2 linked regions of the Daphnia pulex genome follow. Each later gene encodes a partner of the first gene's protein in a complex. Links are inferred from orthologs where the notes say so. Each region holds a gene or a part of one and is shown on either strand. Other genes may lie near its edges.

Evidence for each region.
Region 2: the proteins of elongation factor 1-gamma-like (region 1) and elongation factor 1-beta-like are in contact, whole or in part, in a crystal structure (PDB 5DQS), measured with the Homo sapiens proteins. The link is inferred for Daphnia pulex from reciprocal best matches to the Homo sapiens genes EEF1G and EEF1B2. Residues at the interface, in NP_001395.1 of Homo sapiens: Leu146, Lys147, Thr148, Arg149, Thr150, Phe151, Glu155, Arg156, Pro185, Asn186, Arg189, Leu192, Thr193, Asn196, Gln197, Pro198; in NP_001032752.1 of Homo sapiens: Ala20, Asp21, Lys22, Ser23, Tyr24, Tyr28, Val29, Cys50, His51, Arg54, Asn57, His58, Ser61, Tyr62, Glu65.

Annotation. Positions count from the first base shown.
Region 1 is NC_060020.1:8,828,761-8,833,083, forward strand, and holds elongation factor 1-gamma-like, read left to right. Parts: upstream 1-1,385; 5' UTR 1,386-1,668; coding exon 1,669-1,680; intron 1,681-1,788; coding exon 1,789-1,938; intron 1,939-2,004; coding exon 2,005-2,068; intron 2,069-2,131; coding exon 2,132-2,274; intron 2,275-2,351; coding exon 2,352-2,649; exon of another isoform or gene 2,650-2,704; coding exon 2,705-3,064; exon of another isoform or gene 3,065-3,138; coding exon 3,139-3,263; exon of another isoform or gene 3,264-3,290; intron 3,291-3,362; exon of another isoform or gene 3,363-3,426; coding exon 3,427-3,582; 3' UTR 3,583-3,648; downstream 3,649-4,323. Other genes in the region: uncharacterized protein LOC124193185, read right to left, coding at 53-360, 580-796, 872-968. UniProt on the Homo sapiens protein: Probably plays a role in anchoring the complex to other cellular components.
Region 2 is NC_060021.1:6,594,082-6,597,226, forward strand, and holds elongation factor 1-beta-like, read right to left. Parts: upstream 1,798-3,145; 5' UTR 1,676-1,797; coding exon 1,596-1,675; intron 1,479-1,595; coding exon 1,259-1,478; intron 1,201-1,258; coding exon 1,011-1,200; intron 951-1,010; coding exon 796-950; 3' UTR 677-795; downstream 1-676. Other genes in the region: heat shock protein 60A-like, read right to left, coding at 2,648-3,145. UniProt on the Homo sapiens protein: Catalytic subunit of the guanine nucleotide exchange factor (GEF) (eEF1B subcomplex) of the eukaryotic elongation factor 1 complex (eEF1).

The sequences.
Region 1 (4,323 bases):
GAAAGTAAACAATAAATAAATCAGTATAGTGCTCACCAAGAATGATTTATACTTGAATTGTATGGGGAAAGGGCTGGTGGCTTGTAAGAATGATACAGCTGTGGTGGTGGTGGGGATGGACTACGAGGTCTCTTCTGATTTGTTTGACTTTGATGTCCAAGAGAAGGAACCATATTGATTGCTTGTCCATAAAGTGATGAAGGAGGCACTCCTTGCAAATTCAAAATGCTTTCTTCCTTCCCTCCATTAAATACTGGCCTTGAAGCCCCAAGATTAGGATGCATGTACACAGAACCATGGGTGTTTGGATGCACTAATGGAGCTCCAGATGGATAGGGATGAAACAGCATCATATCACTGCTAATGAAAAATATTTGAGTTTCTAATCTAATTCATATGGACAAAAATTTCATAGGATATTGATCACTCTTGATATGAACACTGGTAGGGAAAATTTTACCAAATTAAACTTTTAGTGTCCATTTACTATTTACACACTTCCTAGGATATTTCAGCATGAATATTGTCTTCTTATTCTATGCTAAGAATGAATTTTAAAAGAAAAAATAGATAGCATACTTGAAACTGGATTCTTTGATTTTTCTTCTCGTATCATCCTCATTTAGAACTTTTTTGAGTTGCAGAAATAATTGATGCTTATCCTCTTTCAGTTGAGAAAGCCTGGATTCTGACTGAGCAACTTGTTCCTTAGTTTCTTCTAAAGTCATCTCTTGTTCTTTTTGCTGATCTTCTCTTTCTCTTCGCTGTCGCTCGACCTCAGCATCAGCTTCTTGTTCTGTTTAAGAGTAAATGAGTTACAGAGCACAATTGAAACATTAACACAATTATTGTGGAGCTTCATCATAACAACCTTGCTTTTTCCTTTGTCTCTCTCTGATTATGTGTGATTTTAATGAATTCCACATAGGTCTGCTGAGTTTCGGCTTTTCTAAAACAATGGCGGGCATTTTGTTTACTTTCTACACTAACGCTCCGACTTCAGATGAATGCACTGAGTTAATTATTTGAAAATATTTGAATTGTTTGGTTTGAAGTCCTTTCTTGACTCGCGTAAAACTGTTCTTTTTAACACAGTTTGAGCTTGATACACTTCTTGTCTTCGTGCTAAGTCCATGAAGTACCGACTACCGAAGTACCGAAGTACCACCGAGACCGAACTACCGAAGTACACCTTCCTGCTAAGTGCTGCTAAGACAGTTGATGCTTTCATGGATTCTCAGTTTCTCCCCAAAGATGTCGTGGCACGACCGGCAGCCTATAGAAGTCAGGTAGCCTTTGATCTCTAGAAGACAAGAAGAGCATGAGTAAACGTAAAAAAACCATAGTTCTGTTCCGTCGGTTCCAGGTCGGTCTAGCGGCGATTCTAGTGTCGCATTCTAGTGTTTGCATTTTAAAGTTCTAGCTCTATTCCGTTTTAAGTATCCACTTTCCACCTCCACATTCCACTTCCACATTCCACATTCCACTTTCCACATCCTAACTGCAACTCTGCAAGAGTGGCCCGCAAGGCAGACCAACAAAGGGCTGCGCGCTTAACAGCGTTGCCATGTAGAAATTTTCAACTATTCTCACGTTTGAGCTCGTTCTCTCTTGCAGCAGACTTCTTCTTGGTTCCACGTCAGGTTCTCGTCCCTGCATTTGATCATCATGGCTTCTGGAGTAAGTACGATCTGTGTTTGAATCTAAGAAATTCCGTGACATCTTCTTGTGTTTTAAAGCGTGATTCTGTTGTCCAATATCTAATTAATCGGGTTTTTTTAATTTTAGACTTTGTACACTTACCCAAGCAACTTCAGGGCCAATAAGGCTTTGATTGCTGCTCAATACTCTGGTTTCAAAATAAATGTCGCTTCCAACTTCGTCTTCGGCGAGACCAACAAGAGTGAAACTTTTTTGAAGAAATTTCCGTTGGGAAAGGTAATTTTCTTTATGCGGTTCATTTTCATGGTGGAAAGTTTTAAGTCTATGTGATTGTATTGATAGGTTCCAGCTTTTGAATCCCAAGATGGGCAGTGCATTGCTGAGAGCAATGCAATTGCATATTTCGGTAAATATTACTACTAAAATAGTATTCCTCTGGAATTGAGATGTAATGAGTGTTATTGAACAGTTGCCAACCAGCAGCTTCGAGGAAACAGTGACGTGGAAAAGGCCCAAGTCCTTCAGTGGATGTCATTTGCCGACAGTGAAATTCTTCCACTGTCCTGTACTATTGTTTTCCCTGTCCTTGGAATCATTCAGTACAACAAACAAGTATGTTTCTTATTTTAGTTTATTTGTGCAAAGCTAATTTTATATGTACAATGTTAATTGGTGTATTGTTTGTATAGGCTGTTGAACATGCTAAAGAAGAATTGAAGGCTATTTTGTCTGTCGTCAACAACCACCTTCTTACACGCACCTTTTTGGTTGGAGAGAAAATAACTCTTGCAGATATTGTTCTTTCTAGCAATCTTCTCCACCTTTATGAGAGCATTTGTGATGAAACTAACAGGAAGCCTTATCAAAATTTGAATAGATGGTTTATTACTTGTGTTAACCAACCACAATTCAAAGCCATCATTGGAGACTTTAAGATATGCCAGAAAGAGTGTCCAGTTGATCCCAAGAAGTTTGCTGAATTTCAGAGTAAGAAAATTCTAAACATTTAATTCATTGCCATTTTTATCCAATGTGTCAACAGGTAAAATAACTGGATCTCTGAAAAAGGAAGAAAAGAAATCTGTCAAGGATGAAAAGAAGAAAGAGAAAAAAGAAGAGAAACCAAAGCCAAAGAAGGAAGAGCCAGAAGAGGCTGAGGAAATGGATGCAGCTGATGCAGCCCTATTAGAGGAACCCAAGTCCAAGGATCCATTTGATGAAATGCCCAAAGGAACATTCAACATGGATGATTTCAAAAGATTTTATTCTAACAATGAAGAGTCAAAATCCATCCCTTATTTCTGGGACAAATTCGACAAGGAAAATTATTCTATCTGGTTTGGAGAGTACAAATACTCTGATGAACTTACCAAAGTCTTCATGTCTTGCAATTTAATCTCTGGTATATTCCACAATTTTTTTTTTTTTTTTTTGTTTTCAAAGAAGAAATCCCATAATATTCACATTTTTTAATAGGCATGTATCAACGTTTGGATAAAATGAGGAAACAATGCTTTGCATCCATGTGCTTATTTGGAACAGACAATGATTGTACCATTTCAGGAATTTGGGTGTGGCGTGGGCAAGATTTAGCTTTCCAGGTAAGATGGTTTACAATGATGTTACCTCTTTCAAAGACACAAATATTTTTTGTTTTCGATATTTTGTGTAACAAGTAGAGGGAAAGTAATAAGACTTACCTGTTTTTAAGCTTAGCTTTGCTTGAAGTAATGGATCTAAGTTTTAACAATATTTTTTGTTTAGTTGTGTCCTGATTGGCAGATTGACTACGAGACATACGACTGGAAGAAATTGAACCCTGATTCAGATGAAACCAAGAAGATGGTGGCGGAGTATTTTGCCTGGTCCGGCACTGATAAAAATGGTCGTCCTTTCAACCAGGGAAAGATTTTCAAGTAGTTTGGTATCTATACTCGTGGAGTGTTGTATCACAACCATTATCAATACAACTGATGAGCTACTTGATATGTTGGAGTTCATTCAGACTTACATTAAATTGTTTTAGCTTGCTGATTTAAGAATATATTGCTTAATCCCCTCTTTGATTCTCCATTGGGGTCACAGACCATTTTATTACACTCCCCTTTGATGAGTTGCAAGTCACGCTCATGTTAATAACTTCAAAGCAGTATTTATACATCTCAAAGCGTTTTGAACAATAATTTGCGTGGTTTGGTATACCAATTATCAAACAAAATTTAGAATTTGTTATGAACGAGAAAATGGTGCACAAAAGCTTTTTACAAAAAAAGGCGGATTAACATACAACAGAGCACCAGGTTCTCCGACTTTCCAAGCTGATGGATCGATTTCACAGGCGAAATAGGAATAATCAACAGTAGTGCCTCTAGTGCTCGATTACACCAACAATTTGGCTAACTATTTTATACTCAAGTGATCCAAGCTCTAAGCCCAGCTACAAAGTGTTTATTGGTTCGCTTGGTCATTAAGACGAGCTGTGATCATGTTGACAAACCCTAACGTTTTTACCATAATATTTTTTAATTTCCTTTTTATCTATAAAATTATTCATACGATTCAGCATTCTTAACTGCATGATATAACAAAATTCCCACCGTGAAGGGTAATTTGTGACACTTAAAAGAAAAACCTATCATACAGATCAGCCTGAAAACGCCT
Region 2 (3,145 bases), on another chromosome or scaffold:
AGTTTGAGAATCCTCATGCTAAAATCAAATTCAAACATAAAAACTTTAAAGTCCTGATTTTTTAAAATGACTATTAATGCCACATGTGAGTTGTCAGTCACTAAATTTAAAAAATAATCCAAATAATCACAACCAATTGTGGCACCTTTACCTTTCTTTAGTCGTAATTTTAGCATACTAATCACTACAATTTTGTGTCTCAGTCATAAATTTAAAAATAATCCTTGGCCAATAAACATAGCCTACAAGAAACAAGAGTTACATAAACTTCCCTACCTTCTCTCAAAACTCCCTTTTCTTATGATGAAACATTTCAGGCACAACTTATCTAACAGATGAACTCACTAAATTTTCATGTAGTACGTTAGTACGACACTGAAGAACTAAACACATTTTTGGTCGAGACTACATCACGAAGCATGTAAACACAACACTGTTGCCAAGTTTCTGTAACTTAACTTCTCTTTTTAAAACAGCTGAGCTGATGAACACGTCTTAAACTCTTTATCAGGGATATGGAGAGAATTTCTCTCCATACCCCTGACTTAATTAAAAGGTTTAAAGCTAACTAAGAATTCTTCTTTCGTGTAATCGACATTCCCTTTAACCACATGAACTAGGCTTGAGCATTACGGAATCTATTCATAATATGATGGCAAATGAAGTGTACTATGAGTAACAACCCAGCATGTTTATTTCAATCAGCCAGTAATTGTGGAGCCAGGCACTTTGCACGATTAGCATTCAAAATATCTGATAACACGAGCCGGCTCAGCTCCGACACAATGATTTTATTTAAATTTTATTGAAAGCGGCAATATCGACTGATTGGACCAAATCTTCGAAGTTCTGAATTTCCTCTGTAAGCCAGTCAACAGAAACTTTGTCATCTTCAATGACGCATCCGATTTGGAGCTTCTTGATACCATATGCCAATGGTACAAATTTACCTGAATAAACAATACAGTTTTAATTGGCTGTAAAAAATGTGTTTCATTGAAAATACTTACACTGTCCCCAAATAAGACCATCACATGTGATGGTTTTTACAGCTTTCTCCATGGCTTCCATGTCTGTCTCATCATCCCAGGGTTTAACATCTAGGACAATTGAGGACTTGGGAATAAGCGCAGGTTTCTTGGATTTCTTTTCACTGTAGGCTTTAATTCTTTCTGCCTTGATCTTCTCAGCAGCCTCATCCTACAGCGGAAATTTCTGTTAATACTCATTAACTGAGGGATTTGCCTATGGTTAGTACCTCTTCGTCATCAGATCCAAACAAGTCAACATCATCATCATCATCATCGGCTGGTTTGCTGGCTGGGGCTGCAGCAGCAGATTTGGCACCTGGGAATTTGCTGGTTTCAGACCCAAATGATTTAATGTGGTTGTACCAGCGGAGAGCATGTGGGAAGCTGCTGGCAGGGGCCTTTCCTAAAGCTTGGAAGGTGGTCACGTCCGCCTGAGACGGTTCATATCTATACACAAGAATATAACATCGACATATTTTTAGATATAACGAAACGGAAAGCATGCTCAAGAAACAGTTCTATTGTACCCGGCAACACATACTTAAAATAAAGTGAAAAACTTACCCTTCAATGTAACTTCTATCGGCTAGGAATTCGTTAAGGGCCTTAACACCATTTTCAGTTTTAAGATCGCCGAAAGCCATGATTATTTTATCAGGTCTGAAAGGAAGAAACCGACTGAGGGTAGAAATTGACACGCGATTCGGCAATGGCAGACACCAAAGAGAGACGGTTACGTGTTGCCAGATAGCTAAATATTTTAGTTCGTTTGTCCACCGTCGTCCTAAATCCCCCAGGCAGTAAAAGGGAAGGGAAATGCGAATTTTTACGGGAAAATTCAAGGACACGTTAAAGTTTAATGCACTTTTAAAGCTATAACAATTAATTTTTAATTCAGAAATTTCATTACTGATTTGGAATGAAATCATATTTTCTATGAGCAATGTGCATTTTCAATTCGTTGTGCTTGCGCAAAACTTAATGACTGCATCAATTTTAATCTGAATTCTTAAGGTCATTTTATGATACCCTTTAGGAAGGGCTTGTTTTATTTTAATTGAAAAACGACCATTTGTTAGTAAAGTCCTTGTCCTGAGATTGGTTATTTTATCCAACTACACTAGAAATATTTTATGTAATTTGTTTCAAAATTTAACCGAATAAACGTCAGTTGTTAACTTTTACGTTCATTGCAATTTATTTAGCAATTTTTTATCGATGAATTCCAGATGATTCAACCCAAACTATACCCTTTACCTTCCTTCTCTTTCAAAAACATAGAAGGTTTTACAAAAAACTGTTCATGTATTTTTTTTTTTTTTTTTAGAAAGTAAGACTTTATAATGATTTACTACGAAAAAAAAACGACAGTAGTGTCTCCTATCACGAGTGATTCATACGTGTCCAATACTACGCTGTAGAGCTGATAATTGTGCCTTCCAGATCGATGAATGACTCAAGATTGAACAGCAGTAACATGATTACATAAACTGGGATGTCAAACAAGAGGAATGAAAATCTCCAAAATTACCGCTATACAACTTGACAACACCACTACAATCAAGAAGGTAAGTAACATGAAAGGTTGGAACAGAAATTGACTTGGATTTGGGACGTTACATCATTCCGCCCATACCTCCCATACCACCCATGCCTCCCATTCCGCCCATTCCTCCCATGCCGCCATCGGCCTTCTCTTCTTTGGGGATTTCACAAACAACACATTCTGCTGTTGTGAGGAGGGATGCAACTCCAGCGGCATCAGTAAGAGATGTTCGGACAACTTTAGTAGGGTCAATAATACCGCGTTCAATCATGTTGACGTACTCATTTCGGAGGGCATCATAACCAATGGAAGCTTCAGAGTCCATAACTTTAGAGACGACGACGGAAGCATCAACTCCAGCGTTTTTAGCAATAGTCATGCAAGGCATCCTCAAAGCGCGACGAATAATGTCGATGCCAACTTTTTGATCTTCATTTGCATAGGACAGCTTGTCCAAAATAGGAATACAGCGAAGTAGAGCAGTTCCGCCACCAGGAACGATACCCTCCTCAACGGCAGCTCGGGTGGCGCAGAGTGCATCGTTAACACGATCCTTTTTCTCGTTCAC